Linked DNA regions of Arabidopsis thaliana. The protein of the gene in region 3 interacts with the protein of the main gene of each other region in a pairwise test. Each region holds a gene or a part of one and is shown on either strand. Other genes may lie near its edges.

Region 1 (7,871 bases), on a different chromosome or scaffold from region 3:
AATGTTCTGGTTATGTCTGAGAGAAGACCAACTCGGTCTTCTGCTGATAATTCCAGCTCTAAACCCTGAAAGTATGTTTCATATGCACAATCTGTCTTGAGTATATCAGAAATCGATGCAGAACAGAATGTAATTTGAGCCAAGACAGAGAATTTTCACATTCCTAATTGGTTACCTCCGATGCTCTCCTCTCAATGGCTGCTTCCAGACATTGTATGACACGTTCTTGCTCTGCTTCTGAGTTTATGGGAAGTCCATCCACATGACGGATGTAAAATTCCTGCAGCAAAACACTCATATTATTGTTAGAAGAGAGATCCCAACAGACGGCCGTTGAGTAGTTACCTGATAAGCCTCCACTGGTTCTGTGCTGACCATGCCATGGAACACCACATACTGCATATCAGTCAAAGTACAGACTACGTCAAACACAAGCTTTGGTCTATCTTTGGACCTCATGGTAACAACGGTATAATCCTTCTCAATGTTCATTAGTGTGACACTGGGCCTTGACGCCGATGTCCTTGCTCTTTTGACTCCCTCGTAGTCCCTATCATCAAACATGATCTGATGCAACCGTCTCTCCCTGTGTGTATCAGAACAAGAGAAGACTGTTTTCGCAGCTCTTGAGCCGCTGTTTGTCCTCACTACATTGCACAGCAGCTCCTTGATGGTGGAAAGGCGAATCGGGTCAGTAATGGCAGAATGAGTTGAATTGTCCGTGACATGAATAACCGCTGCAGCTCTGGTGTTGTGAGTCCATATCTCAGCGTTCACAACGTTGCAGTGAAGGTCTGTGAGAACAGCAGATACTTCAGACAAGAGACCGGGTCTGTCAGTTCCAGCGAGCTCAATGGATGTGTATTCGTCAGTGGGCATTACACCAACTGAGCTTCTCAAAGGTGGAATGAACCACCCAGCGTTGCTCTCTATCCTCTGCGCAATGAATTCAACAAACGTTTTACACAAAGAAAAAAACCTGTTGAAAATGAAAGAAAAAAAGTGATGAAATACATTAGAAACCTTTTGGATATAGTCAAGGACTTGAGTGTCTCTGATCTTATTGCCATCTTGGTCGATGACTTTGAAAACGTCCATGAACCAACCTCCATCGGAAGAGATGTAAGCTTTCTTGATCACAAGATTCATATCAGTGAGCACTTGTACTACTTCCAATAGAGTCCCATGTTTGTTCACACTATCAACCTTTTATTTAGCACCACAAACAAACAGGGAACTCTGTTTTCTCAAAATCTCTTTGTTTGGTACAGAACCACTTGAACAATTTGAAGAGACAGATTTATTTACCTGAATAACAGTGGCATCGTCGCTTGCGTTGTTGTCTATTACAACTCTGTATCCACCATGAAACATACATAAATAAAGATGAATGTTTTAGCAGCTGGAATCTTTACAAGGGTATAGAGGCTCACAAACGGAGCATGGAGAAACAGAGGACCTAGAAAACAATAAAAGAGTATGGAGAGAAAGAGAAAAACCTGGGAGGATTCATTCTCCTGATGAGCTTGGCATATTCATCATCATCCATGGTTGTAGTATGTATCTCCTTGGTGATTTGGCTGCAGCAGAAACCCAGAAGAGTGTGAGTCCTCCAATTTCTGAGGAAAATTCCTAAAAGAGAGAGGGAGAGGGAAGTTGAAGGAGGATAAAAATGGTAGGCCACCGGAACCGAACCTTGTTTTCATTAGTTGATCGAGCACGTGCCACTAAAGATTCTTAGAGATGACGTGGCACGGGCACAGCAACTTTTAGATTCTGTTATAATTGTTCGAATACTACCAAAAGTCGGGTGAAGATTTGGGGTCAATTTGATGATCATAAAGGGGATTATATTCTCCTTCTCAAGCAAGATGTGGTATTTACTAGTATAATAGATCATTCGTTATCTTGAGGTAGACCTCTCCGTAACGTTCACAGGTGCATGACCAAGTAACAATTTGATTCCTTTCCAGCATAACGTCATGTTGGTTGCAAAAAGAAGGCAAAGTAGAGCAAGCAAGCAAGCAAAGCATTTTTCTTATTTTATATTTTGTTGCGGATTCCACCACCCACTTGAAAAATTGACATGTCACAATGATTTCGTATCCTAGTCTTTTATTATTTAACACTCTCACAATCCCATTACTCTACACCTCTTTCATTAAGTCAACACACGGTTTTCAAAAATCCACTACCCTCCCACCACCTAGAATCTTTTGTTACCTACCAACACCCTCCTTTGTTCTCTTTATATATTGGTCCAACTAAATCAATAAGGGAAAGCATCCTTTTGGTTGGAGGAATTGCTTTCATTCTCACTCTTTGTGTGTTGATCAATGGACTAGCTAATAACAAGTTCCTCCTCTATATATTTCAAAAGAATGGAACAGAAACATAAACGAAAGACAGAGTACCTGATGTTGATGATTCATTGTCTGTCTGGAGCTCCCAAATGCCTTTTATGCTTACATATTCATAACCAACAACGGCTATTAATTATAAACCAAAAACACGAAATAAGTTTGTAGCAAAGTGAAATTAGGAATCTTGGAGATGGATCCATTAGTAGTAGGATAATAGGATATGATGGAATTTGGTTGGGGAACAGTGATAACTTACGCTTGCTTCCGGCGCCGGGAAAGTTGGAAAACCTACAAAGTACAGAAATGGATCTGGGCCTTGAAGTGGGCTTTTTATTAAAGAAAAAAATACATCTCCGTTATCAATCACCATCTTCTTCTATCTACAAATTAAAGAAGGTAACAACAGAACGTGGTGGATCATGTGGTTAGGCATTAATTATTTGCTTTGTTTCGCCGTTTTGGTAACACACAGACACAGTTCCGGTAAGAGCTTTTGCAGCCACTCTTTATAGTTATTTAGAATTGGCGATCGAATCAATCTCACTCCCTCCCTCCCTTAAGTCTTGTTGAATCTGCTGAATTGTTTTATAAAGAGTTACTTTGGCAAAATGGAAAATCCGGCGAAGAGAGTGTTGATGACATCCAACGGCGACGAGGTGTCCCGAAACATCGCTTTCCATCTAGCCAAACACGGTTGCAAGTGAGTCTCTCATTTTGTCTTCTTTCCTCCTATCCTGTGTTTCTTCTTCTAGCCCCGATTTGTGTTGTGGTTGACTTTGGTGTCTATAGTTAACCTTCAAAAAATGCAATGTACTGTTGCTAGGTTGGTAATGATGGGAAATGAGGGTTCCCTAAGGAGCATTGTAGACAAGATTAGAGATTCCATTGAGGGAGCCTTCCCTGCCGATGTTATAGCACTCGACATGGAATCTGACTCTGAAGTTGCTTTTCATGCCGCTGTCCAAAAGGCATGGGAACTTTCCGGCCATTTCGATGCTTTTCTCAACTCTTATACCTACCAAGGTTTAATTTGCTTCTTGTTTTTCACTACCCTGCCTTTGATGCTCTTGTGTGTTGATCATTCCTTTATTCAACAATCTTTCTTTCTTGCAGGAAAGGTGCAGGACATTCTTCAAGTCTCTCAAGATGAGTTCCACAGAATCACAAAGATCAATCTCACCGCTCCATGGTTTCTCTTGAAGGCTGTAGCCACAAGGATGAAGGACCATGGATCAGGAGGCTCCATTGTCTTCATGGCCACTATCGCCAGCGGAGAGAGGGCGCTTTACCCTGGCGCTGATGCCTACGCTTCAACTTCTGCCGCTATTCACCAGCTCGTCCGGGTATGCATCCTAGCTCCTAATTAGACACATCGCGTTCGTAACTTGAATATGTTTGTTGATGATTGGGTTTCAGGCATCAGCCATGAGTCTCGGGAAGCACAAGATACGGGTCAACATGATCTCTAGAGGGCTGCATCTGGATGATGAGTATACAGCTTCTGTGGGAAGAGACCGAGCGCAGAAGCTGGTCAAGGACGCTGCACCCCTCGGCCAGTGGCTCAACCCGGACACAGACCTCTACTCCACTGTTATCTACTTGATCAGCGATGGCTCACGCTTCATGACAGGCACCACTGTCTTGGTGGATGGAGCGCAGTCCCTTACGCGACCCCGTCTCAAATCCTACATGTGATCAATGCCTAGTATTATTATAATTCTATGTTGTGTGTAAAAAGTGAATATGAATCAAGTTTGAATAACTATGGAGGGATGAATAATCCATGGAATCAATGATTATATACTTTTGACAAGTATAGAAGAAAGCAAAGAGCCAAAATAGTCAACAATCTCAACATCATTCGAGCTCATTGTTTATTGAATTCAATCAAGTTTGGTAGGTGAACCTCAAATACACGTGATATTGGATATTATCTTGGAAACCTTGCTAATCCAAATTGTAAATCAAATAAGAAAAGAATGATTACCTCAGAGATCTAGATGCATATTGATTCTTGACCAAGAAATATGTTTGAAATTTGAATCCATTGAACCAAAATTTGAAGGAGTTGCATATATAATAATATAAATCAGAATGATGTAGCCGCCACACCTTTTTGTTTCCACAAAACTCTTTTTCTGTGATGGATCCGCTAATGTAGCCATATTTTCAATATATATCACTTTCTCTGGCATCTTCGCTACCGTGTACGTCTCTCTTTCTCTCCCTCCCCTCCTTGGCTTTTTTCAAGTTCCCACCATAAACGCAGAGGGAGTTAAGAAATGGAGGATAGGAGGTGTGATGTGTTGTTTCCATGTTCATCATCGGTTGATCCTCGCTTGACAGAGTTTCATGGGGTCGACAACTCTGCTCAGCCGACAACATCATCCGAAGAGAAGCCAAGGAGTAAGAAGAAGAAGAAAGAGAGAGAAGCGAGGTACGCGTTCCAGACAAGAAGCCAGGTTGATATACTGGATGATGGATACAGGTGGAGGAAGTACGGCCAAAAAGCAGTCAAGAACAATCCATTCCCCAGGTACGTACTTAATCATCAATGAATGATACTGTATGCTTGCTATGGTGATCAAATAAGAGACTCATATACATACATGTAAAATATGAATATATATATATATAGGAGCTATTATAAGTGCACAGAAGAAGGATGCAGAGTGAAGAAGCAAGTGCAGAGGCAATGGGGAGACGAAGGAGTGGTGGTGACGACATACCAAGGTGTTCATACACATGCCGTTGATAAACCCTCTGATAATTTCCACCACATCTTGACACAAATGCACATCTTCCCTCCCTTTTGCTTGAAGGAATGATTAGAGGAATTGGATTGTAATATTTACTTTCCCAAAAACGTTGGGCTCACACCATCAGACCTTTACTTTTAAACTAGCAGCAACTCACATATCTCAAAAATACTAATCCTTATCTTTGTCTTTATGGGACCTTTGAATCCATCTGCTTTGGTGTCTTAGTCTCGGCTGCCCTGTAATCGAAAGTATATTCATCATCAAATTACCAAACATAAAGAAGCAATGATGAGTCTATCATCTACAAAAACAATGTTATGTATCCCAAACCTACCGATTATTCCAAAACTAGTGACAAGCTAAGGATATTGTGGAGATGAAGATGAGAAAGAGTACGAAAGCTAACTTTGAGGTTTCTTCTTGGATCCAATTGCGAATATGCTTCACGTTTCGCTTTAGAACGGAGGACGCTTTCTTTGTTAGGCCCATTAGCCTGGGCTCTCGTGTTTTTCATAATGTCAAGTCAGCCCAACAAGCCCAAATCTTTACAAAAAGAACCAAGGACCATGTCATCCGGAATATGGTGATATTATTGGATTATACCATTGGACCATTTAACACAAAAGCAAATATGCAACAGAATATATATAGATCACATAACAGTCAGAATCTTCTCAAAAGATATGCTTTCTTCCTTTTCTATTCTAGAGTGTTTTGATGACATCGGCACGAAGATAATGTTATTTTACAGATTTAGCTAATTAAGTCTTTCGTAATAATTATCAAACTCAAATTGTTGCGTTTTAATTTACCGCCGCCACAATACCGCACGAAGATAATGTTATTCGCTTGTGAATTTCTTTATATTAATCTCTCACGAATAAATTAATTCACATTCTTACATAAATCGAAACTTATCCACATTTTCTTGATTCTTTTCAAAAGTTATACGAAAAAGTTAGTTACACAAAATTTATTAAACACGGATAAAATAACGGTTCCTTAATCTCAACACTTTCACTTTTTTCCGAACCCATTGAATGGAAAAATGTTATGTTCTTTTTTTATATAGCAATTGGGAAAATATGTTTTGCAATGAGAAATTGTAGAGTTTGCGGCTTTGCGCCATCCATTATTTCATATAGAACTTAGAGAATAATATATCTATTAATTGAACTACAAGATATATCTTATAAATTTTCTCCGAGATATTTCTCATAAATCGTCCGTATCATCTGTCTACCGCGGAAGATAGATAATTAAGGAGCGTAAATATAGTGCGTAAGGATTGAACCCTGTACTGTATAATTACACATATATCATATATTTTAAATTGTAAAATGAGATGTGTCGTCGTGGCTGTTTGAGCCTGAAAGTTGAGATCTCGTCATCAACATGTTATGCTTCTGAGTGATATTATTGCAAGACGAAGGACCACGCGTCTTTGATATCTCTATCTCCCTGCATGTATTCGTCACAACATAACGAAACCCTCCCATATATATCTACGCAACAACACACTATGTTTGAATGCATGAAACACCAGCTACAGGTAGATCTCGATCGGGAAAGAAAAAAAGAGTTGTAATATCATGGAGATGAACAGAAGGAGATCAAGAGGGTTCATGATAGCTAAGCTAATGCCCTTTTGCAAAGCTGTGAAATCTCCAACTCCTTCCCAAGACCTTTATAATAATGTTCATTACACTTCTTCCACTACGACTTCCTACGCTCGTCAACCTGATTTCAACAACTACGTAACTGCCACTACGCCTCTCCCTCCTAAAGTTAGCTTCCTCCTTCAACCATGTACGTAATTAACCTTTCTTTTAAATCTAGTTTAGCTAATTATAGCTATCTATCTTTCATATATACATGTCTATAATTAGTGACTGGCAGCCTTGGCTCCTGAGGGTAAGGATATGGAAAAGAAGCTGAACATGATGGCAGAGAAGCTGATCGGCAGAGGTATTAACGGAGTGGACGACTGCGTTGACGCTAGAGCCGCTTCTTATATCTCTTCGGTTCGAGAGAGGTTTAAGGCGGACCAATATTGTGAGAAACTGACGACTGTTATTAGCTTAGATGATGAAAATTGACTTTTAGGATTTAAGTGGAGTTACGTACGTTGACCTAGTTATATTATACGTAAGTCATAAGTTCTGTTCTACGTTGCTTCAAGATAAGATATTAGTGGGAATTAAAGCTTTTATTTGGGGTCTGTAATAAGTAGGCGAGATAAGTTACTCTTACTCTTTGAAATCTCAAAACCAAAATAAAAAGTGGGAACTTAATTATGACAATATACATGGTTCATAAAAATGATTATTCTTGATAAATGAACCAACCATAAAAGAAGGAACTAACAGTATTCCACAAGAAAATCAGAAATCAAGAAATGAAGAAAAGGAGCCATGACGTGAAGGGGAAGGTAGGGTTAATTAGGCGGCGTAGATGTGGATGTGAAGGGCGATGAGGGAGATGGTGATGAAGGCGAAGAAGAGGAGAGTGTGGATGACAATGGAGGGGCCGCTTGTCTGAAACCCACCGAACTCAACCGCTTTGCTCTTTCCGGGCAGCTGAAACAAAACTCCAGGGCTCAACACGATGAAGAAAATTACCGACATTAGCACCGGTCCCCAGTCCAACCCCATCTTTGTTTTCTGTTTCTTCTCTAGCTATAATATACGTCTCTCTATAAACATCTACCACTTTATTATGTGCTTATATTTATAATGTACGCGTA
Region 2 (7,482 bases), on a different chromosome or scaffold from region 3:
GGGTTTAAAAAGGTTTTAAAGATGTACAAGGGTTTTTAAAAGATTTTAAAGGATTTACAAGAATACCCTTTAGAAACTCATGTAAATCTTTTTAAAACTTTTTGTAAAGGTTCACAAGAGTTTAAAATGGTTCAAAAATTATTAAAGGGTTTACAAGAGTTTTTAAAAGATTTTTAAATGGTTTACAAGGAATTTAAAGGATTTACAATAGTTTTTAAAAGATTTACAAGAGTTTTAAAATCCTTTAAAAACTCTTGTAAAATATTTTAAAACATTTTGTAAAGAATCACAAGAGTTTAAAAATGGTTCAAAAAGAGTTCTGGATGTTGTAAATACTTACAATTTTTTCTAAGAGTTAAAAAATGTTTGTAATGACTTTATAAGAGTTTTAAAAGGATTTACAAAGGTTTTAAAATCCTTGTAAATCTTCTTAAAACTCTTAAAAAACTCTGGTAAATCTTGTAAAACTATTGTAAAAAGTTATAAAATGATTTACAAAGGTTTAAAAAGGGGATTAAAATTATTTACATATGTTTTAAAGACTTTATAAAGATTTTAAAATGTTTTAATATGATTTACAAGAGTTTTTAACAACTATCAAAGCTTTTAAAAAATTTTACAAGGTTTTTTTAAAGAGTTTTTAAAAAATGTACAAGGATTTTTACAAGCATTTTTTTGGCTGAGAAAAAATTTGTTACGAGAAAATATTTTGGCGGGAACATTTTTTTGGCGGAAAAGAAAGTTTGGCAGAAATTTTCTTTTTGGCGGGAAAAGATTTTAATTTTCAATTACATGTTCTTATTAGATGAGGGTAATTTGTTCACTCTGTTCAAGGGAAATGGTATTTTTAAAAATGGAGAACAGAAAAGAGTATTGTTGCAAAAAGTTAGTAAAAAAATGGTAGTTTTGTAGGTCTCCCCATAATAATAAATCCTTTTTAATGCCTTTTTTATGATGACCCTTTTCAACTCTACCCTTTTTTAAAACAATTTTCATTTCTACCCTCTCTAAATTTTTAATTACCATTTTATCCCTATTTGGAAATTGTTTTACGTTAACAAAATGAAATATTAATATTTTCGCTTAAAATTGTCTATAATAAATTTCCCGCCAAAATTTTCAAAAAAAAATTCCCGCCAAAATGTTTTTTTCAAAAATATTTTTGCCGCAAAAAAAAACATTTTTGGCGGGAAATAGATTTACAAAGGATTTTAAAAGGGTTTTAAAAGATTTACAAGGGATTTTAAAAGGGTTTTAAAAGATTTACAAGGGATTTTAAAAGGGTTTTGAAATACTTACAAAGGATTTTAAAGGACTTTAAAAGATTTACAAAGGTTTTTTAAAGATTTTTAAAGGGTTTAAAAATATTTTATGGAATTTTAAAAGAGTTTTAAGAGATTTACAAGAAATTTTAAAAGGGTTTTAAAATATATACAATGGATTTTAAAGAGCTTTAAAAGATTTACATAAGCTTTTTAAAGGGTTAAAAAGTGTTTTAAAAGAGTTACAAGGGATTTTAAAAGAGTTTTAAAATATTTACAAGAGATTTTTAAAGGGTTTTGAAAAATGTACAAATGTTTTTAAAAGATTTTTAAAGAATTTACAAGAAGACCCTTTAAAAACTGTTGTAAATCTTTTTAAAACCTTTTAAAATCCTTTGTAAATCTTTTAAAATCCTTTGTAAATTTTTTTAAATCCTTTTAAAATCCCTTGTAAATCTTTTAAAATCTTTTAAAAATCTCTTGTAAATCTATTTCCCGCAAAAAAAATTTACAAGGATTTTTAATTTTTGGCTGATAAAAAAAATATTACGGAAAACAAATTTCGCGAGAAATTTTTTTTTGGAGGGAATTTATTTTTTTGCGGGAAAAAAGTTTGGCGGTATTGTTTTTTTTGGCGGGAAAAAAAAAATATGGCGGGAAAATTTCAGTTTCCAATTACATGTTACTATTAGATGAGGGTAATTTGGTCATTCTGTTCAAGGGAAAAGGTATTTTTAAAAAAGAACCACATATAAGGGTATTGTTGCAAAAGGGTAGTTTTGCAAATCTCCCAAGAATTAAATTCTTTTAATTATAGAATCTAATCCATAATCACTCTTTTATAAAAACGTAAACAATTATTTAACCACATTTAATTGAATTTAGTTGTAAAATCCAAACCCTAAGCATTCTTTTATAAACTCAAATTGACTTATAATCTCGTTTAATCGTAAAATCTAAATCCTAATCTTTTTTATAAATCTAAACAGAAATATAACATTTAATTACAAGATCTAAAACCTTAACTATCCCTTTAATTATAAAATCCTAACTGAAATATAAGATATAACCTTTAATTATAACCCTGAAACCCTAAAACCCTAACAGAAATATAATCTTTAATTATAAAATCTTAAACCTAAACCGACATATAAGTAATTATAATACGCTAATCAAACTCTTCTTTATAAACTCAAACTATTTACTTTGTTCATAATTAAAATAAAAAATAAACTAAAACCCTCCATTATAAACCTAAAAACCAATATATAAATTTGAAATATTAACTAATAAATCATAACCTATCTTTTATAAACTCAAACCAACATGCTCGACTAAATTACTCTTAGGAGATTCGAAGATATTTCTCTCAACAATAAAGAGTTTAAAATTAGTTCTATTTTATGGAGTTGAAGAAATGAAAATGAAGTTAATAATTTAAATATTTGATTCTGAACAATCTGATTTTTCTTTTAGCCAACTTATACTCTGTTTCTCAATAATGTATTTTCTAGGGAAAAAATTGTTCCAACTTTGTAATTAATCTACAGCCTTAGGAATTGCTCCAACTTTGTCAAATATTTTGATAGTTTGGCTTGGGAAGTCTTGTTTAGCACATGGCCAGGAAGCGGATAGCGAATTAGCGATATCCTATCATCACGCAATGAATAGGGACGAGCCAACGAAATTTAAAGAATTTTATCAGAATATCGCACAGTATGTTAAATTGCAAATTTGCCATGTCCAAACTCCGAACAATGTCTCTAAAGTTGACGACAAATTGAGTAACAAGACGACAATTTGGTTGACATTCTTCCAACCTCGAGTCTGAAAAGAGACAAGCTTGTGGCTAAAAGCTTGGTAATGGCAGAGCACAACGAGACAAAGATTAGTCTTTTCCTTTCAAGTAGAATCATCAATGTTGAAACTGAGCATTATTCAGAGAATTTATATCTATCCCCAGTCTATGAAGGGAAGCTGAGGATAGCCTTGCTCAGGAGGCGGTTTTAGCGATGGCGGAAGATCAAACCAACCTGTTCCTGGTCTCCCACTAACAAAATCACCTGTTTTAGACAATTCAAACTTCCAACATCAGATTTTCTATAAATGCTTAAATATTAGAGAACTTGAATGACGAAAAAACAAGAACGCATACGGTTTAAAGTACTTCCTTGGATGTGTTGTTGGTTAAGCATGTCAACACGAAGTTGTGTATTATTTGTGAATCCTGCATTTGAATTCAACAAGAGGATGATGTTTTAAGCAAATCTTGCGCATAGTAGAGACTTCTTTAAAGCTTTAAGTAGCCTAAAAGAGACCAAATCACTGAAGTCAAAAATCAACAGGTTTTGACCTAACCTGTGCTTCCTGTATTGTTGTTAGGATGGAAGTATCTGCAAGAATCTCCAAATGGGCAAAAATTCTGCAAAACCCATTAAGAAAGGAACAGACTTTACTTGGAAGATTACATACATACACACATATGCAATGAATTTTTTTGCAGAATCAAACAAAGCAATGTAAAATGTGTGATTCCACCAGAATATAAACGAAAAGGACAAGACTTTACACATCCAGAGATTGCTAGGAATGATGAACATAGCGAAACAAAATCAATCCGACGTACCGAGGTAATGAATCGATTGCAGAGACCTTTCGTCGCAAAATTGGAGACTTGTGGATTAACAAGATCTAAGAATTTCGTATTAAAAGAAACAGAGATGTTAAAAATCGTTCCTTTAAGAAACAGAGAGAAAAAAGAGAGAAGAGAGATACCTGAGGAAGAAGAACTGTACCAAAGGGCTTTAGCTCGAAGATGAGGTTTGCTTTGAAGATGGCGTTTTCTAGCGACTTGAGTGTCTTGAAACTCTTTCTCGCAATAATCACAGTAATATTTCCCCGACGGCATCTTCCGGCGATGACGACGACGACTCGTAGAATCAAAAAGTTTTGGCTTTTATTAGTTTTAGGCGCGTGAGGATACTTGTATTTGCTACAGTGACTTTTAGGGTCTTTGTTTGATGATGTTGCAGAGGAAGAAGAAGATACAAAAGCAGAAGTAGCAAACTCTTTATCTAGATAAAAAATCTTGGTGGGCTTTTACATTATGAACCAACCAACCATAGTAATAACTCTTTTTTTCTCTACTCATACAACAAACAAAGGGTGCATATCAGTTTGTGACATATTGATACATAGAGAGGTAATTTATAAGAAGTGTTTGTTGTGTTCATGCTACATTAAGAGGAAATCACAAACCGAGCCAAGGACACTGCTTCCTTGCATGCTCAGGTACTAACTTAGCTACCATCTCCAATGGTACACCTTTCAGCTCTGTTTCACAACAATTACAGGTATAGCTTTAGTAAGGTAAAACTTTGATGATTTTACAGGTAAGTTGGAGATAAACACCATTAGGAAAGGGAGATGTTGTACCGTGAGGCTTGAAGTTGAAAAGCGGTGGAAGGAAACGTCCATTAGGTAGACGTGCGTTTGGGTCTCTTAACTCATCAAAGAATGGGTGGACTAATGTGTCGAGCTGTGATCAGGTTTACGATTCAAGTAAAAGCAAGTCAGACAAAAGAAAAATAGGAAATGAAAGGACCATCGAGAAGATTCACAGAAGAATGTTGAATTTGTAAGTAATACTCACAGCGGCACTTCGTAGATTAGGAGAGTATTGAAGAAGTCTTGAGACCAAATCAACAGCTTCTGGAGGCATGCGTTTGTGGAAAATCTGTGAATATATTATGACGAGTAGATATTGTCACATTGACTGTAACTGCTACTGAATAACACATTGACAAGTTGATTTGATGAATATAAGTTTATTTCTACCTTGTGCCATGGATGAGCTTTAATCTGAGGGAATTTGAATTCCGTGTAGTTTGGGTTCATGCACTTGATTTCTTCTCTAGTAGGCGTTCCCAAGACCTACCCCAAAGCATAACAAAAAACATTACATCAAATCTTCTCTCAGTATTATTGAAAACAAGAACTTGTTATCAAAGTGAACAAGTGCAAAGCTTATACCTTGATAATCTCTACAAGTTGATCAACACCGCTCTCACCAGGGAACAAGGGCTGTCATGAGCAGAGAATAGAGTTTGTCAATCACAAAATTCCAGGTTAAGTAGAACAAAAATGTTTGAATAAGATTTAATGCATTACCTGTCCAAGCAATAGTTCAGCTAGAACACATCCTGCAGACCAGACATCAATGGCTGTCGTATACTCGGTTGCTCCAAAAATAAGTTCAGGTGCTCTGTAATACCTCGAGCAGATGTAGGAAATGTTTGGTTCTCCTTTTACCTGTTTTCAGATATTACAATGATCAACAAGATTGAATCTAACTTTTTCCAAGAAACAAAGTACCCGGAAGAGGTTTATCAAACTCACCAATACTTTTGCACTTCCAAAATCACATAGCTTTACTTGATGAGTGTGCGGATTTACCTGTTCCATTACAGGTGAAAAAAGTAGCATTAGACAATGAAGAAAAGTATATTCCCGGGTATACTGTGAGCTCCTGTTTATTTAACTTGTACATACCAACAAGTTTTGAGGTTTTATGTCACGATGACACACACCAATGCATCGGTGAATGTAAGATAAGGCTCTAAAAATCTGCCAAACATAGAGAAATCCGATAAGAGATCCAAAACATAACTCTAAATCTAACAGAAATGTAATAATTGATACCTGATAAGTGTAAAGTTTGACGTATATAAGAGGCATTCTCTGATTCAGTTTGTTGTAGTGTTTGATAACACGATGAACAGTTTCTGGAACGTACTCAAGAACAAGATTGAGGTAAAGCTCATCTTTTTCAGTGGTTGAGAAGAAACAATGTTTCAGAGACACAACATTAGGATGGTCAAGTAGCCTCATGGTTTGAAGCTCACGGTTCTTGTACCTCCTATCTTGTAAAACTTTCTTTATCGCAACAGTTTCTCCTGTCTCAAGACATTTCGCCTAAATCACATAAGAAAATACAGAGGAATCCAATTCAGTCAATTGATAGATACATGATGTAAAACGTGAGAGATGATAAGCTAACAAAAACTCACTTGGAACACAACACCAAAAGATCCGTGACCAACAACACGCTCAGCCATGTAGCTAATTGTCTGCATTGACATTGTAGAAAAATTAATAAAAACACGAAACACTAACCAATCAACTAACTTAAGAAGATTAAAAGAACAGTTTTTTGCAAAGAAGAAGAATCAAAAACCTGTTTTGGTTGGCCATTTCTACCACCAATAGTAGTCACAATGATATGTCCAGTCTCTGTTCCATTTCCATCTACCACTGTCGCTTCCATTTCCTAACAAACCACAATCCATTATTTAGATTCTCATGAAATACATACCAAAAACTATACTACAACGCATGGAAACATACTTTATCGTCACGAATTTTCATGTCATTCATTTCTTCAGGCAATTTATCAACACCAGTAGAGTCTCTTGCTCCAGGATTAGGAGCTATACCCACTGACGCCATTTTTCAGGCTACAAAACTCTTCAAACTTTCAAGCCTGCAACAAATAACAACAGAGATTAAAATCCAATGAGTAAAGTTTGTTGCTTTACTAATAACAAAACACACAAATTCAATTTCAATAAAGGAACAAAACACAATTCTTTCAAGCTTAACAATTGAACACTTCAAATAAGTAAAAAACAATTTAGAACACTAAAATTACGAAAAGGAAAGTTTTTTTTTAACGGGAACAAAAAAAATAATGATAAGCCCAAAAAAAGTTGCAAAATTTAAAAGACCCAAACATTAAAACCAAATTAGAGTTTGGTAGAGAAGAGAGAATCTGTCGATTTTAAAATGATGGGTTAAATTAAAATTCATGGTGAAGCAGATCTGAAGCTAAAACCCAGAAGAAGGGATGAAGAAAGAGAGAGATCTTTAAGACGTACCGATGAAAACGTAAAAATCTCAGATCGATGAAGAGAAGAATTAGGATATTAAAGAGAGAGAGATCCGTACGAGTAAGGATTTGTGGGTTTTAACAAAAAAAAAAAAAAGGATTTGTGGGTTTGATGATTATGAATCTCTCTCTCTAACTTTATTTATTTTTCCGGTGAGAGACGAATTATGAAATATTTTTACTTTATATTATTTTGTGATTCGTCTATAATCATCTCTCTCTATATAGCTGGCTTCTCGTGAAGACAATTTTATTATTACTATATTGTAAAAG
Region 3 (7,328 bases):
ATATTAAAATTTAGATACTTAACTTATAGATTTCTCTAGAAACATTCAAGGAGGTATAACCTTGTAAAATGTTTTTAGTGAAACTTTAGCATGTGGGCTTAATTTTGGATTTGGAACAGAGAGATAACTGGATCATGAACCCATAATTAAACTAGACCCGTTATCAAGTTTAAATTTAACACTACCTTAAATCTGATTATGTCAGTCAACCCGAACTTCGAGCAAAGTAATTCAAGTTGGCCTTTTGATAATGATTTGGTGGAGATATATGCAATGTTATCTTAAAGTTTGTAAAGCTTCAATTGTCCCATCAAACATCTTGTGCTTTATGAAGTAATGCTCTTCCTCAATATTTTCATACTTACATGAAACATTAAATTGTTAGCTAGTTTGATAGCACTTTAATTAACTATCTTTGCGAACAAATTTTCAAGATCTACATGGACTTCGAAGTCTCCTCAGGCAAGCATGAACTTCAAAACGTGATTGTATACATTATGCTTTTGTCATTGTATAAAAACTAATAATATATGTTTTCATGTCAGATTCGAATAATCAAAACTAAAATATTCAGTATCCATACATATATTATACATGCACCTCTAGATTCTTACCGCTTTTACTCATATTCATGATCATGGACATTTAAAAAATCGAGACAGATCTAAAATCGGTGTGGATCATCCAAATAACTTGTCCACTCCTACTTCACATCGTGGAATTAGATCGCAAAATATTCGTTAAATGGGTCGTTCACAGTGATTACACATTTTACTACTCAAAGCTTTTCAGTAGCCCATCATTATATCCACACAGCCCATCTTCTATTGTTTCATTTCCCCCTTTTAAGCCATTTTTAAATTTGAAACTGATTATTATATTTGAATTACAGAAATAACTGTACATTTTTACGTAGAGGTAAAACTTTTCAAAGTTTATAAAATATGAACTCTAAATAATATCAAATAACGAATACGTTTACAAACAAAATTTATCAAAGGTTTGAGACTTTATAGTTTAGTACCATTTATATGTTCATTAAACAAAATTTTGGAACTACCTTATTATGGTGTTTGAACTGGATCATGATCTAAGTATAAGCTGAATTATACTAGGAGTAGGCCTAAATATATTTAAAATAAACAATTGCTTTTTGAGTTTTGGACTGTCAATATAAGGGTCAGCCCATTTGACATATGCCTAATTCCAGAATTGCTTATTTTCCTTGGTTAACAGAGAGCACTCTCTCTTTCTTAACGTTCCAGGTTACCTCAATAATCAAAATTTGTATTCAATATTTTTAAGCAATCTCTTGACCAAATACTGTAGTATTTGAGGCTCAGGATTATTATACCAAATATATCATTGCTACATGTTCGCTAACCATCTGTAAGAGATTCTACTTAGTTGACAACCGACATAAATGGACTTTCTCTTACTAGTTTGGATACTCGATGATGAAAATGAACGATGTTCTAGCATCCTAGCGAGATGTAGATTTTGGGGATATAAATTTGTTACCAATATTAGAAGACTTAAGATGATTGCTTTGAAAATGAAAATATAAAATATAAATATGTAAACTAAAGTGGTAGCCCATGATCTATAGATTTTGGGTGGAATGCATCCATGTCTCTAAAAAGCACATATTAAACGAAGAATTTAAGAGATTTTAGATACATCTATTTAATACATAAACAAACCCACATATTCTAACATGAAATTTGAAGAGACTTTAGAATCAAATAACTCAAAAATGACCATTTCCTGTTTAATAAAAAAAAAAAAAAAACCTCTCTCCATTGAAGACTCTCTTGTCTCCAGTCTCCACCACTGACCAAAACCAAAAGCTCATTCTCCAAAACTTCCATCTACAACAAGTGTTCGAAATTTATACCATTGTTGAGTGAAATAATTGGGCGACTTCACTATCTTCCTTCCTTTTCTTTATGTACTCTGTAAACCCTAATATCCTAAATACATGTTCCTCAATTCCTCAATTTGCTGTTCGCCACTTCGTATTTTTCAAATCTATCTTCGATTTACTTCTTATTAAAGAAAAAAAAGCTCAGCGACTTCTGCTGGAGTTTCATTTTTTAGAGACTTACGTTGATAGATGGCTTGTTTTAATTTACCAGTTTCCCTCACACATTTTCTAAGCTTCCCGGATTTGATAGTCGAACATATTCCCTTCCTTTTAGCTTCAATCCTAGTTCAGATATTTTCCTCAAAATCGTAAAATAACCACTAAAAATATTTCAAATTCAAGTACCTCATATTGATGGATAAAAAATATCCAAGAAAAACAAAGTACAGGTAGAAGGCAAAATAAAAAAATATGGGTAAGAAGGGCCCAAAAAAACATTTCTGAGAAAAAAAGTTCATAAAATTTATTTTCCTATACTCATAACATATAAAAAAATTTATAAAGGTTTCTATATAAAAAAATAACTGTACAATTTACATTGCTAGGGACTTATTTTAAAAATTAGCCCTAAGGCCTATAAAATGTTTAAACCGACACGAATTATAGGTGTTCAACTCGTATCACCGTGTACTTTTAGACTCTGCCCAATTCACCATGAACTATATCATAAACCTCATAATTCCACCTAAACTATTAAATTCATCACAATTAGACAACTTCAATTAATTGAGTCAATTGCGATTTAAAATCCTTAAACGGTTATGCGATTATACTAACATGAGTTTAATAGATTGACCGATTTAAAAGCCTATTTAAATACTAGGGTATAAATATCTGTAAAAAATAGCTCTCCTGGGGAAAATTTTTTTTTCCAATAAACTCAAAGTACCCAAAACAGAAATCACTCGTCCCTTAAACTTACTAGGGTAGAAACTAGTGTAGATTTGTATAAATTAACAATACTAACTAAAATCTAAACTATAAACTTTAAATTATAAACTCCAAACTCTAAAAACTAAACACTAAATCCAAGAACTAAAATCTAAAACCCCAAATTCTACTCAACCCTAAATTGTTAAGCTTGAAACCGTTATAATTATATAGTTTCCTTTATTTTGTCATGATTCAACTTATTTTTTTTTTCATTTCAAATATCTTTTAAAACCGTCGTATTTATATTGTTACACATTTCAAATTACTAAAATGATAAAATACTATTTTTATGTGATAACAAAAAAAAAAACTATATTTTCTATGGTTTTGTATATAAACAGTTGGGTGCATGAATGCATATATTGCATTTGCGCCCACTGTAAATTAGAACAACCCTTGACTACTAGCTAGAGACGTCAAAAGAAAATTGAAAACGACAAATCTTTTCACAATCTTCAATCGTACGGGAAACCAACTCAGGTCACATTAAAGCCTCTTTTCTCTTTTGACAAAAACCCTAAATAAAGGGATAATGTTTATGTTACGTTGTTATATGTACACTACACATTTATTCCATATCTATAGTTTCGTTAACCGGTCAAAACTAATTCACCCACCAAAAAAAATCTAAATTTCCATTTCCATGGCATGTAGGAAAAACTAGAAACCACTGGACAAAAGAATAGAAGTTTTTTTTTATATCCAAAACGAAAGCAAAGCAGATCTTGTCTGAGATCCGACAAAAAATAAAAACAGTGAAATACTATACATTCAAGAACATCGATCGCCTTCAATACTGACTCTTAAAAGCGTGATGTTTATCATTGAAATGGAAACAAATCCTTCATATGTCGTCTTCTATTGTTGAATTATTATTTTTGGACTATATGGGCCATGTTAATTAGATGTTGCTTTTGTGGAGCACTCATACGAAAGGTACGTTACCTACTTGTATATGTATACGTAGTAAAAGTAAAATGTTAAGAAGATACTAAAAATAGTTGAGTTTGAGGTTAATCCCCAATATATAAGTTCATAACCAGATATTAGATCTGGAATTGAAAACCCTAGAAAAAAGTTGTAAACCCTAGTGAAAAATTAACCTGTAACTGAGTGAGAGAGGAGAAGAACAGATCTGCTTTTTTGCGAGCAGATCTTCAATTACATACACAAAATCATGTCTTCATCACTGTACACTTAACCATTTTCTTGTTACACATCTCTTACACCATTAATATCTCTATAGTTTTTTTCTTTTCTTTCTTTTTTTGCTGGTGTGAGAAATTGTACGCTTACTATCTCTCTCTCTCTCTGCCAGATTCTCTCTTTTTGATGATGTGAAAGTTGTGCTTTTGTTTCTTAAGAAAAAGGCATATTTTTAATACTTGATTCTTGGTTCTTGATTCTTGATTCTTGGTTTTTTTTAGCTTCTTAAGTTCGGTGATGTCGTCTTCCACCAATGACTACAACGATGGTAATAACAATGGAGTGTACCCTCTCTCTCTTTACCTTTCTTCACTCTCTGGCCATCAAGACATCATTCATAATCCCTACAACCATCAGTTAAAAGCATCTCCGGGCCATATGGTATCAGCAGTTCCTGAATCTCTGATCGATTACATGGCGTTTAAGTCAAATAATGTTGTGAATCAACAAGGCTTTGAGTTTCCTGAGGTGTCAAAGGAAATCAAGAAGGTGGTGAAGAAGGACCGACATAGCAAGATTCAAACGGCACAAGGGATTAGAGACAGGAGGGTTAGGCTTTCTATTGGGATTGCTCGCCAATTCTTTGATCTTCAGGATATGTTGGGGTTTGATAAAGCTAGTAAAACGTTAGACTGGCTGCTCAAGAAGTCAAGAAAAGCCATCAAAGAGGTCGTACAAGCAAAAAACCTCAACAATGATGATGAAGATTTTGGAAACATTGGAGGCGATGTAGAACAAGAAGAGGAGAAGGAGGAGGATGACAATGGCGATAAGAGCTTCGTGTATGGTTTGAGCCCCGGGTACGGTGAAGAAGAAGTGGTATGTGAGGCCACGAAGGCAGGGATAAGAAAGAAGAAGAGTGAGTTGAGAAACATCTCATCAAAGGGGCTAGGAGCCAAAGCTAGAGGAAAAGCAAAGGAGCGAACAAAAGAGATGATGGCCTATGATAATCCAGAGACTGCCTCTGATATTACACAATCTGAAATCATGGACCCATTCAAGAGGTCTATAGTCTTCAATGAAGGAGAAGATATGACACACCTTTTCTACAAGGAACCAATCGAGGAGTTTGATAATCAAGAATCTATCTTAACCAATATGACTCTACCAACGAAGATGGGTCAAAGTTACAATCAAAATAATGGGATACTTATGTTGGTAGATCAGAGTTCTAGCAGCAACTATAATACATTTCTGCCTCAAAATTTGGATTATAGTTATGATCAAAACCCTTTTCATGACCAAACCTTATATGTAGTCACCGACAAAAATTTCCCCAAAGGTAAAGTTTGGATTCAAGACTCTTTTGTAAACTAAATTATTGTTCATATATATGTTTGCATTCTATGATATGTTTTCTTTCTCTTGATTGTTTCTGGCAGGTTTCCTATAAATCTCGACAGTTTTGAAGGACTATGCATGATCAAGTTTAAACATGTAAGCCAATATAGTCCCTTATTCCTCTGAATGTATACAAAATCTATAGTTATGTATATCTGTTCCTTTTTAACGTATCTTTATTGATCTTCTGTGCCTTGATCAAAATTGTCATTTTAAGATTCAGTTTGTGTAATATTTTAGCTACAACTTTTAAGTGGTATTATTGTAACCTTTTGAACTATATATTTTGAAGATGAATAAGAACATGTTTATATATTTGGTCATCCCATTACAATCCAAGATTCATACTTCGATTAGGCACTACACATAAGAGCTAGTCTTTAAGATTAAGCCATTTTTGTTTAAGTTAGAGCTCCATATATTAGAATTTGTTCTTCAAACCCTAAATTCAATTAAGACCCACAAAACCAAATATGTATGATGATGAATATTGAGGGTCGTAGTGAAACTGAAGTAGTTACATTGCAAATTGAAGGTGACACTGAGAATTAGTGTGTGGAATGTGGAGGCGTGCCTGCCGTGGTGTCTATTTGATTCATAGTTTGTGATTTGGCCATCCAGGTATGAGGAGAATATATCCTACTTTCATATTATTGTCTATATAGAAGATATATACACATTTATATATTGGTGTATTTATTCTCTTACTCGGAGGATGTTTTGCAATGATGCTTTTTGAAGCAAATATGAGTTGTTTGTTTATGGGGTTTGAAGTTTGGCGTTTTGGAAACAATGATTGTTAACTTAACATATTCGAGTAAGATTTGTTTAAGGCTTTTAGGTTAAACTCTGACTAGAGATGTGAAAAAAAAAAATCCAAAAGAAAACTCAATGTTTTGAAATGATAACATTCACTTAGTAGTAAATAAGTACATGGATCAATTCAGTCACTACCAATTTGTTTGAATTATTATAAATCCTCAAAACTGAATATGCTATCATAGTTCAAACTCCAAACACACGTTGACATGAACCTAAATCAATATTGTTGTTCCTAGCTGACCCCAAATAGATCCATATATACAAGAGATTAGCCAATCAATTCTGCTTATGAAACTTGATATTCACCAATTTGAGATTCTAGAATTTAGTCGTTTTAATTTAATTTACAATTTAGTCGGAAATCCTATCAAAACGTAAAACTTTTTAAGAAACTGAATGTTAGGAGTTAATGAAAACGTGTAAAAGAATGATACAAGATTTGACTGATTCTATTTGTTAATAATTTTTAAATTTACAGTATATGCCTAAATTTATTTGGTTTAACTAACTAATTTTAGGATAATTAGTCAAATTAGATGATCATATATGGTTAAAGCTAGTCTAATTTAATTAGACTAAGTACGTAATAAGGTTGTTCTTAAACCGAAAAAAAAAAAAAAGTAAGAAGGTTGAACATTCACGTTGGAGCAGTCAAGATAAAGATGAACAATAAGAATTTCTTTTTAACCTTGGAAGGAATCTAATCTCAATATATAGGGACTTAAGATTCCACTAAGTTTGAACCACACACATCGAAGATTGTAAGATTCTGTTTTGAAGAATGAGAAGTTGGCATTACAAGTATAGTCGGTACAAGTTTTAGAAAGCTTATCCAAATGTAGTTTCTTTTTGAAGCTGTTTGTGCATGTGACAATTTTTTCGCTGTACATTCCTAATCTCATAAAATGAGAAAATAATCAAAGAAATAATATATTATGAAAATAAAAATTTGTTTTAACATGTTTGAAAAATATAACAAAACTATTTTAAATCATACTTTAGTTGAAAATAATTGATTGTTAAATTACGAAAAATTTTATAAACATGATTGAAAAACTCATAAAATGATAGTTTTTATCAACAAACTGGTGGGATATGG
Region 4 (10,331 bases), on a different chromosome or scaffold from region 3:
AGAAGAAGAAAGAAGAATCGCTGACCAGAGTAATGACAGAGAGGTTTGAAGATGAGAAAATGAAAACGTGGTTTTTAAGGCGATTCTTAGGAGCGGAATTAACGGTGTCGGATTAGACGGTAAATAGACACGTGGTGAGTGTTTGACTGGGTAGATGATAGCGGAGTTATAAACGGTCGTTACGTATAGAGAAGGAGCGTTTTGACCAAACGTGGAAAGTGTAAAACGCCGAGTAGAAAATTCAAAAGAAGCGCCGTGTCTGCTGTTTGTGGGATCCATTTGGGACCTATTTGATCTCCGTTTTTTCTGGGAAAGACACTAAACGACATCGTTTCGACCTGTGAATCATGCCAGAAACAAAAGTGTGCTAACTGCAAAATAATTATATCACTTTTTAACTATTTTTTCTTCTTTTTTTAAAATGAATTTCATTAAACAATTTGTGATATACTACTGTATTTTATAATGTCGACCAATGAGGTGGAGGATGGAGTATTTAGAAAATTAGAATTGTTACACGTTGATGGCTCAATATGTTTATTTGTCAACCGATGGCTACATAAATTATAGGTGAATTTGATAAAAATACATTACATAAACCAACTAGTATCTTTGTGTATTTGTTTTTTTGGTGAATAGTACCTTTGTGTATTAACAACTAAATTTATAACTCAATATAAGGGATGTAATGCTTTCTTAATAAATTGACCATATTATCAAAAGTTAAAAACAAACGAAAAGAAAAGTTCCTCAACTATTTTTCTTCTCTTTTTGTTTGCAAGTTGCAACCAATGAAAATAGATAGACAAATCGTAATGATGGCAACTGATTACCATCTTAAAGACTAGAAACACAAATACAATTGATTGACATAGAAATAAACCACGGTTTGCATCTTTATTATGATCAGACAAGCATTAAATTTTATTGACTGCATTGATAAGTCAATAACTTCAATTGTTTTGCCCGCCTTGAAGGCTAAGATTATGCAAGGAGGAAAAAGACAGATAAACAAAATGTTGCACAAGTGAAAATCAAAAAGCTTTTGAAAACAATGATCTAAAATTAGTCTGAAACGAACAATGGCAGCTCCGAATCTATACCAGAACTGAAAAAATGCCAGCTTGAATCATGGAATGCTGCAAAATAATCATCTGATTCCGTCTCAATAGCAAACTCGCTTGTGACTCTTTGTGCAGCTATGATTCGTTTGGTAGCACAGATGACTTCTGCGTCAAATGAAACTTGCTCCTCATACATCTGAAAGCTGTTCCCAAACAATGCGATTTTCGACAGTCGATCCATTCTCCAATTTGCTTGCAATAGGTTGCTGTATAGATTGGCCTCACAGTGTGGCATGAAGAAAAGAGTAGGCTTTAAAGCTTCCCTACGAGCTTGCTCATTCACAGATAGAACACTGCATCCCAAAGATTCTAGGTAACTAGATTCAGTTGCAGAGAGAACTGGGTCAAACACTTCAATGTTATCACCAACCCAATCAAACTCTCTCTTCATCAAGATTGCAATGCTCAGCTGAAACCTCGGAGATTCATAAGACTCAATGCTACCTATACCGTACATCACCATCTGCAACTGTGTTTCAGACCCTAACACGAGGCGAATCTGATTCGAAACCTCAGGAGACTTAAGCTGCTCCAAGAATGCTGTGTAAAAACTCGAGCTTTCGATTTTCTTCAGAGAGATTTCCATCTTCTGCTTTAGTCTTGCTTGTCTCTGTGGATCAATTTCAAGATCATCTGATTTCCATGGTTGCTCTTCTTCTTCTGCTTGACCTTTAGGTTTCGGTTTTCTTCTTCTTCCTTGTCTTCCTTTACTAGGTAAGACTACTTTCCACTCACCATCACTGCTTGAGTTTTTAACAGTCGTTTCCATTGAAGCTTCCACAAGAAACTGGTTTTCCTGATCTACTTACTCCACAGTCCCCCAAAATTAGGGTTTCTACTCAATGCAATGATTCCATTGGTTCCGATTACCTAACATCACAATAAATTTCGATTCCTAAACCTAATTATCAATCTCTTTGCTTAACTCTGATCTATCTACTTTGAGATTGACAAAAATCTTCGATACCGAGCAAAATTAAACTTACGATTAGAGACGAAAACACAGGAGGAAGATCGAAGAAGCTTGCTTGAAATACAGAGGAAGCAAAGAACGCTTCGAATATGTGGTGACCGAGTGGACTCAGTGAGACATTTGTGAGTTTGGTGCGCCGAGTCGCGCGGCGATAAAGTGAATCAGATGATTTGTACGCGAAGATTTGGTAAACAGGTATTGGGCTAGAGGAAATGGAATGGGTCTAGATACGGCCCAATAAAGGCGCGAGATAGAGACAACTGAAGTCTTGTTTCCTGTTATTTCTTTTGATTTTGTTTTACTAATCTAAATATACTAAATCAGCAGTCAATTTTCCAATAACTGATGCATTCAGTGATTGACACATCAGCTTAGTACTACTTTTTTATTTTTTCATTTTTACGCATAGTATGTGTCGTTTTTATTTAACTTTGTTTCATTCTCAAACGATTTTCTCTTTCATCCCCACGATCTCCACATCTCCACTTTCTCTCTTCCAAAAACTCCATGACTACTGTGTAAAATCTCAAAGATGGGTTTCTCAACATCATTAATCGATTACTCAGAAATCAGGTACTTTGTTCATCTCAATGAACCAATTTACCATCTTCTATTTTTGTTTGTAATTTTGTTTTATATATATAGAATTCTCCATAGATCCGAAAATCATATATCCTTCTTCTAGATTTCTATGGCTTTTTTTTTTTTTTGCTTTGTTTCTGCTTTATTTGACTGAATTCGATTTCTCTCATACATCTCCATTTTTCCATAGGATTATTCTTTAATACAATCAATGCCTATGATTCTCCCGTCTCACAAACACTCAAAGAACAACGACAAATTTTGGCTTCTCATCTGAACAGTTGCCTTAAAACAAGGGTGAGTTTAATATCTTAATCGAAGCTCAAGTGTTTTTTTAATGGTAAATTAATTCTCATACTTTTTACTATTCTTCTTTCATCTCTTATTTTACTTCTTTATATTTGCAATTTCTTTTTTGTATTAAACCGCAATTGTATTTTCACGCAAGATTTTTGTATTAATACAAATACTTCAATTTTAAAGTCATCTCTTATTTTACTTCTTTATATCTGCAATATCTTTGATATTGTTTCAAAGGCAGCGTCTGCGTTATGTAGTTACTTACTTGTGCACATTTTACATTTTTTTTTAGACTTCCAAGCTTTGGGTGTCAACGAATGTTTGTAAACTGAATTACTGATGATGAGAAGAAGAACACATTACAATTGGTTGGAGCTAATGATGAAATAAGCGGACATGTATATACCCAGCATAATTTTCGTACTTATACTCTCTTATATTTCTAAACTCTTGATTTGTTAGTTACTGTCTATCGCAATTGATTCATTGGGTAGAAAAGTTGTACCTTCTTTATATCTTTTTCTTAATCTTTGTATATTCTTCAGTCAATGATAATAAATTTGTTGTATATTTATGCTGTCTGCTTTATTTTAAAAATCTTAGTTAAGAGTTGTAGCAGATATAATTTAAAACAATGTTGTCCCTGCATAGTAGGGGCCAAATGCTAGTAGTAGTTTAAAAGTAAAGTACGTAAAATAAAATAACGTGTATTTTTCATTATAGGAAATGTAGTTTAGGCCGTTATTGTTCTTTTTCATTATAAAATAACGTGTATTTTATGTGTTGCTGTTTAACCCTAAACTCAGACAGCGAATGTTGAGTTCCGATGCAGTGGTGTATGGTTTGCGGATACAGTAAAACTTTTATAAATTAATAATATTAGAATTGCGAAATTTTGTTAATTTAAACAAATATTAATTTATAGAGAAATTTTTTAAATTTAATAATTGTTTTAAAAATTGAACTCTTTTCGTAGCCCAAACCCACCGGTATTGAACTCTTTTTGGCCCACTTAGCCACGTTAAAGGGTCACTTGTTACTAGTTGTAATTGCAACTATCTGCCTAAACCGTCGTGCCTTTTGTCTACATTCTAGAACCATGCACTAATGACGTGGCTGGAGATAAGTTGGTTGATTACACACGTGTCACTTAGACAGAGCGAGTAGACTTTGATGCGGGTAAAAGATATTTTAGATTATCTAGCTCGCTAGGCCACGTTGGCGGATATTTGCACTTTTTCTTTTTTTAAAAAGAAAAAAAACTAGGCTCTACGAATTTTCCGGTCACCTTCTCCGATCTCTGATCCGATATTTTTCCACATGTTGTTGAGCTTTAAAGGATTTGAAACCGTTATGAAAGTTATGAAAACGAAGAGTGTGTGAAACATGGGGAAGGAAGTTATGGTGAGCGATTACGGTGACGACGACGGAGAAGACGCCGGCGGCGGCGATGAATATAGGATTCCGGAATGGGAAATTGGTTTACCCAACGGAGATGATTTGACTCCGTTATCTCAATATCTAGTCCCGTCGATTCTCGCGTTAGCTTTCAGCATGATCCCAGAACGAAGCCGTACAATTCACGACGTCAATCGCGCGTCGCAAATCACGCTCTCTTCGTTGAGAAGCAGTACCAATGCTTCGTCTGTGATGGAGGAGGTCGTGGATCGAGTTGAATCGAGTGTTCCAGGATCAGATCCGAAGAAACAGAAGAAATCGGATGGTGGTGAAGCAGCGGCGGTGGAGGATTCCACGGCGGAGGAAGGAGACTCCGGGCCTGAAGACGCGTCTGGGAAGACATCGAAACGACCGCGTTTAGTGTGGACACCGCAGCTACACAAGAGATTTGTGGACGTTGTGGCTCATCTAGGGATTAAAAACGCAGTGCCGAAGACGATTATGCAGCTGATGAACGTGGAAGGACTTACTCGTGAGAACGTTGCGTCTCATTTGCAGAAATATAGGCTTTACCTTAAACGGATTCAAGGATTGACGACGGAAGAAGATCCTTATTCGTCGTCGGATCAGCTCTTCTCTTCAACGCCGGTTCCTCCACAGAGCTTTCAAGACGGCGGAGGAAGTAACGGAAAGTTGGGGGTTCCGGTTCCGGTTCCGTCGATGGTGCCTATTCCAGGCTATGGGAATCAAATGGGTATGCAAGGATATTATCAACAGTATAGTAACCATGGCAATGAATCAAACCAATATATGATGCAGCAGAATAAGTTTGGAACAATGGTGACATATCCTTCTGTTGGTGGTGGTGACGTGAATGACAAGTAAATGGATCTTAAAGGTCTATAATTTGCTCTACAGAGAGATACTGGTGAGCTTGTTTTCGTCTTCTTCTTTGAGATTCTTATTCTTTGATGTTTGTTCATGTTACTAGCAAAGTGTTACAATTTTCTTGGTAGAGTGTTATGGTCAAATCCTAGTTTGGTGTTGTTATATATTTACTCTGTCTTTGCAAGTAGTTGATCTTAATTGATTCTTGTTACAGGTTCTTGGCTTATGGTTTATTTTCCCACTTCATGAGGTTGTTGTGACTTTTAATTCTCCATGTTTTCCACACAAGTCTTTATTGCCTTTGTATAGAAAATGATTTCGAGAAAATCACTGGGAAGCTTGGTATTGTTGGAGGATGAAGCCTTCTATGAATGATTTAGTTTCCTACTGTCTCCATTCTTTATGAGGTAATAAAGCCTTCTTTTGCTCATCGCTTGTAGTCTTCTTAAATTCAAGACAGCGTCACATGTTTGTTCGGTTATGTTAATTGTTTCTTTCTTTGGATAATGAAGATAGCATCAGGTCTCATGTCTCCTCACTTTGATAAATATCTCTTTCATTTATCATTTTCTTCTATTAAAATAGTTTTTCTCTTTCTTAAGAAAAGTATCTTTTGATTGTGTTGGATGGTCATACACCAATTAACTCCCAACCACAAGGAAGAAAGTGACATTTCAACCATAAGCTCGTGTTTCTTTGCCCACAATGAGTTAGTAGTTTTAGCCTTTTAGCCATATAGTTTTCATTTGGTAAATAATCTGTTAAGATCTTTAAATCTGCAAACTAGATGAGAATCCATAGAATATTTCTGTGACCAATGTAGAGTCGCCATTAGAAGATCACTTTTCACCTCTCTGTTTTGTTTCATTCAAAAGATGTTTCTCTAACGTTATCTTCATATTACTTCTTTGTGGGTCACTCGTGTCTCCTCTACCCTTCCTAAACTTACAACAACTGACTCAAACTGTCCTTGAAATTTCCAATGCGCCAGTCTTTTCATGGGACTTAGTTGAGCTGTTTAGTTTGGTGACAGTGAAATATTATTAAAGTAACCTAAATGAAAGTTTCAAGTGGTTGAAACGTGGCCTCAGCAACTGTAATGGAGAAGCCCAAGCTCTTTATCTCTTATCATGTGAACAATGATTTTGTCTATAAATGCAGAAACTCTTTTATTTTTAGATACAACTGCCAAAACATTACTCTAAAAATAGAAACCATCTCCTTTTATGCCATTTGATTCATGATGATTATAAAGAATCTCTTCTGATACAGTTTTGACTTCAAAACAGGGACTACATGAAATTCATCATTTTTAAGGAATTGACAAAGTTGTCTAATGAGCTGAATGAGGAACCTCTACTCTTGACAGAGGCTTGAAGCTTCTCTTTCAAGTTGATAACTCTCTTCCTCATTTCTGCTCCTTCTTCATCCATAATCAATCTCTCTACAGCTCTCTCCACTGTTCCTTTATCCAGCTCTCCTTCCAATTGAACCCCAATTCTCCAAACTCTCTCTAAGTACCTCGCATTGACTTTCTGATCTCCCGTAAAAGGCCTACAGATCATCGGAACTCCTTCCCCGATGCTCTCTAGGGTCGAGTTCCATCCGCAGTGACTCCAAAACCCTCCCACTGCAGGATGTCTGAGAACTTCTATCTGTGGTGCCCATTTCACAATGTAACCTCTTTCTGAAACCAACCTACTGAATTCCTCCGGTAAAGACTCTGTCCATTCCGAGCCGGGAATAGAACCCGGTCGGATCACCCATAAGAAAGGTTGGTTGCTATTACGTAAACCCCAAGCCATCTCCAACATGTCTTTAGTTTCCATTAGAGCCAAGCTTCCCAAACTTATGTAAATCACTGAGCCTATTTTTTGCTTGTTCAACCACTCAAGGCAACTCCTGTCCTCTTCAAGTAAACTAGAAGGCGCTGAAGCTGCAATGTGAAGTGGGCCTATAGGATACACTGGAACTTGCAGTTGTTTTTGTAACCATGCCAAAGATGAGCTCTCTAGACAGCTTGTTGAGTTGATGATAACTGCCGAAGCTGTTCGAATGTTGACAGTCTCACTGTAAACCTTGAGTATACTCTCTAATGGCCCAAATGCTGAAGTTGGCAGGTCCTTGTACCTTAGCGGATGCAACCCTGGAAATTCCTTGTCTGACACTTTGGGATCTGCAAAGCAAACAACAGCATTTGGATTGGTTTATATACCTAAATGCACTTTTAAAGTTTGAGTTAACAAGCTAAAAAATCTTGAGTACCTTTCATGTCAAGCAAGAATGACTCTGCGTTGACTCTAGACAAAACAGAGCGACAGACAAAGGCAGTAGCACTTGTCGTGCTGAAGAGGACGCTAGGAAGTTGAAACTCTTTAACTGCAGCTTGGGAGAAGTACATGTACTCATCGTAGACGACACAAGCGATATCATTACCTTGCTCCTGCAATAGTTGACCAATACATTGCTTGAAGCTTGCCTCGCAAATTTGATTGAGCTTGAAGAGAAACTTGAATGGTCCAAGGTTTTTGAGATCAGACTCGGTCAAGCTGCCTGGGATGGTGAGGAAATGAAAATCAGAGAAGTCCTTGGATGAGCTAACTCGATTATACTGTGTGAGAACAACAGTGATGGAGAAGCCCTTGGAGTAAAGAGCCTTCCCGAGTTGCATAATCGGAGTTACATGACCTTGTGCTGGAACTGGAACCAATACTATCCTTCTCTTCACTCCTAGTTCTTCCATTGTTTTTCTCTCTTGGAGTCTTGGTCTCTCTCTTTTTTTGGTCAATGTGTGAATGGAAAAATCTCAAAGACACATAAGGATGCTTAAATGCTTGAACCAGATCTAATTAATATGAAATATAGCACGTGGGATATATATTAACTGTTTCATTGGTCTCATCGACATGTTATTTATTTTTATCCCTAAGTGGAAAATTATGAGGTTAGGGAAAGATCTCAACATTGTGGAAGGAAGGACATACCACAAGAAAAAGCACGTGGAGTATATAAACTAGACAAAGAATTCCCAAAGTTACAAGGAAGTGACAAATTTGGTGACTAGCACCATTTAAGGCTTCCTTTTGTCATTTTCTTTATTAAGTTTGTTGTCTTGTTTTGGACCATTTTTCTAATTAAGTCTACCTCTATCATTTATTTACTTATTTTCCCTCTTGCTTAAGGTTAACATATAATTTCATGTCTGAACATAACAACTAGCACACTCGTTTAAATTATGTCGACGTACGTACACCTTAGAATTTCATTTCTGAACATGACATCTAACCACTGTAGCTGCCGCGTTGCCGTAATTCGGATTCATAACTTTGTAGTGTGGATGTATAGACGCGGCAAAAGACAAAGGATTTTGTATTTTTGTAGTTTACTTGACCAACATGTTATTTATCTAACTTCCTTCAAACCGTTGTTTTCTTATCAAACAAGATCATTACTTTTGATAGTAACAAAACCGTGATCTTCTAGTCCACCGAGTAGCCGTGGATCTCCTGCCCTGCTTCATATTCACAAGTGAGGTACAAGCAGGCAAAATGCTAGTAATCGTTGTTGAATTTGGATATAATATTCATGAGCCAACATCTGTTTAAAAGCATCAAGAGCTTTCTCATTCTGAAAATTATGTACAAGGACTTAAATAGTATAATTCTAAGACACAACCTCTGGCTTGTGACCATCAAAACGAGTTCGATTAAAGTAACTCAAAAGTAGTTGAGTTGGCGACAAAGTGAAATTAATTGGAGTAACTTAAAAGGGTTCAAGTAAAAATAGTTGATTTGGTATGGTGTCAAAGTGAAAATAATTTGCAGTAACTTTAAGAGTTCAAGTAAAAAATAGTTGAGCTGTTTGGTATAGTGACAAAGTGAAAATAATTGATGTAACTTCGAGGGTTTAAGTGATTGAATTTGGTCTAAGAAACTGTAATGGAGAAGCACAACATCTTTTATCTCTTATCCTGTTTGAGAGTAACTTAAAATAATGCTTCTGTATCCAAATGCAGAAACTCCTTTTTTTTTTTTTTGACAACAACGTAAAAATTCTTATTATAGAGACAACTTCCAAATATTACACTTAAAATAGAATTCATGTCCTGTATATCATCTTGATGCACTTTCGACTTTGACTAGGGACCTTATTTTTTTCTTTTTTTGCTAAGAGACTAGGGACTATCTTATCTCCCTTCATCATCTTCACATGGAATTAACAAAGTCGTCTAGTGAGCTGCATGAGGAACCTCCACTTCTAACAGAGGTTTCAATCTTTTCTTTCAAGTCAATGGCTCTCTTCCTCATTTCTGCTCCTTCTTCATCCACAAGCAACCACTCTACAGCTCTCTCCACAGTTTCTTTATCCAGATCTCCCTCCAATTGAACCCCAATTCTCCAAACTCTCTCTAAGTACCTCGCATTGACTTTCTGATCCCCGGTGAAAGGCCTACATATCATCGGAACTCCTTCCCCGATGCTCTCTACTGTTGAGTTCCATCCACAGTGACTCCAAAACCCTCCTACTGCAGGATGTCTGAGAACTTCCATCTGCGGAGCCCATTTCACAATGTAACCTCTTTCTGAAACCAACCTATTGAATTCCTCTGGTAAGGACTCTGTCCATTCTGACCCCGGAATAGAGCCCGGTCTGACCACCCATAAGAAAGGTTGGTTGCTATTACTTAATCCCCAAGCCATCTCCAACATGTCTTTGGTGTCCATTAGAGCCAAGCTTCCCAAGCTTATGTAAATAACTGAATTTGATTTTTGCTTGTTCAACCACTCAACGCAACTCCTGTCTTCTTCTAGTAAACTAGAAGGCGCTGAAGCTGTAATATGAAGTGGGCCTATAGGATACACCGGAACTTGCAGTTGTTGTTGCAACCTTGCCAAAGATGAGCTCTCTAAACAGCTTGCTGAGTTGATGATAACAGCGGAAGCTGTTCGAGTGTTCACAGTCTCACTGTAAACCTTGAGCGTACTCTCTATTGGCCCAAATACTGAAGTTGGTAGATCCTTGTACCTCAGAGGATGCAACCCTGGAAATACTTTGTCTTGTGTTTC

The links.
Region 1: the proteins of TCP1 (region 3) and WRKY45 interact in a two-hybrid assay, tested with the Arabidopsis thaliana proteins (one large-scale study listed by BioGRID).
Region 2: the proteins of TCP1 (region 3) and AT5G26749 interact in a two-hybrid assay, tested with the Arabidopsis thaliana proteins (one large-scale study listed by BioGRID).
Region 4: the proteins of TCP1 (region 3) and BOA interact in a two-hybrid assay, tested with the Arabidopsis thaliana proteins (one large-scale study listed by BioGRID).

What each region holds. Positions count from the first base shown.
Region 1 is NC_003074.8:323,934-331,804, reverse strand, and holds WRKY45 (WRKY DNA-binding protein 45), read left to right. Parts: upstream 1-4,392; 5' UTR 4,393-4,645; coding exon 4,646-4,899; intron 4,900-5,001; coding exon 5,002-5,191; 3' UTR 5,192-5,853; downstream 5,854-7,871. Other genes in the region: ACR6 (ACT domain repeat 6), read right to left, coding at 1-65, 176-280, 346-936, 1,024-1,206, 1,309-1,354, 1,500-1,580, 1,696-1,706; AT3G01980 (NAD(P)-binding Rossmann-fold superfamily protein), read left to right, coding at 2,972-3,063, 3,187-3,706, 3,780-4,058; AT3G01961 (uncharacterized protein), read right to left, coding at 6,454-6,624; AT3G01960 (uncharacterized protein), read left to right, coding at 6,718-6,934, 7,025-7,224; AT3G01950 (peroxidase (DUF 3339)), read right to left, coding at 7,567-7,779. UniProt on the Arabidopsis thaliana protein: Transcription factor. Interacts specifically with the W box (5'-(T)TGAC[CT]-3'), a frequently occurring elicitor-responsive cis-acting element.
Region 2 is NC_003076.8:9,395,070-9,402,551, forward strand, and holds AT5G26749 (C2H2 and C2HC zinc fingers superfamily protein), read right to left. Parts: upstream 4,199-7,482; 5' UTR 4,171-4,198; coding exon 4,038-4,170; intron 3,954-4,037; coding exon 3,832-3,953; intron 3,685-3,831; coding exon 3,621-3,684; intron 3,490-3,620; coding exon 3,418-3,489; intron 3,326-3,417; coding exon 3,216-3,325; 3' UTR 2,946-3,215; downstream 1-2,945. Other genes in the region: SK 11 (shaggy-related kinase 11), read right to left, coding at 4,513-4,595, 4,698-4,800, 4,915-4,998, 5,100-5,195, 5,295-5,345, 5,433-5,573, 5,661-5,717, 5,814-5,888 and 4 more.
Region 3 is NC_003070.9:25,166,283-25,173,610, reverse strand, and holds TCP1 (TCP family transcription factor), read left to right. Parts: upstream 1-4,303; coding exon 4,304-5,383; downstream 5,384-7,328.
Region 4 is NC_003076.8:23,999,682-24,010,012, forward strand, and holds BOA (Homeodomain-like superfamily protein), read left to right. Parts: upstream 1-4,206; 5' UTR 4,207-4,365; coding exon 4,366-5,262; 3' UTR 5,263-5,305; intron 5,306-5,479; 3' UTR 5,480-5,672; exon of another isoform or gene 5,673-6,554; 3' UTR 6,555-6,557; coding exon of another isoform or gene 6,558-7,441; 3' UTR 7,442-7,530; coding exon of another isoform or gene 7,531-8,008; 3' UTR 8,009-8,163; downstream 8,164-10,331. Other genes in the region: RDUF2 (zinc finger (C3HC4-type RING finger) family protein), read right to left, coding at 1-279; SRR1 (sensitivity to red light reduced protein (SRR1)), read right to left, coding at 1,066-1,893; UGT76E1 (UDP-glucosyl transferase 76E1), read right to left, coding at 6,558-7,441, 7,531-8,008; UGT76E2 (UDP-glucosyl transferase 76E2), read right to left, coding at 9,471-10,331. UniProt on the Arabidopsis thaliana protein: Transcription factor that is a critical component of the regulatory circuit of the circadian clock. Binds to specific sites on CCA1 promoter leading to CCA1 activation.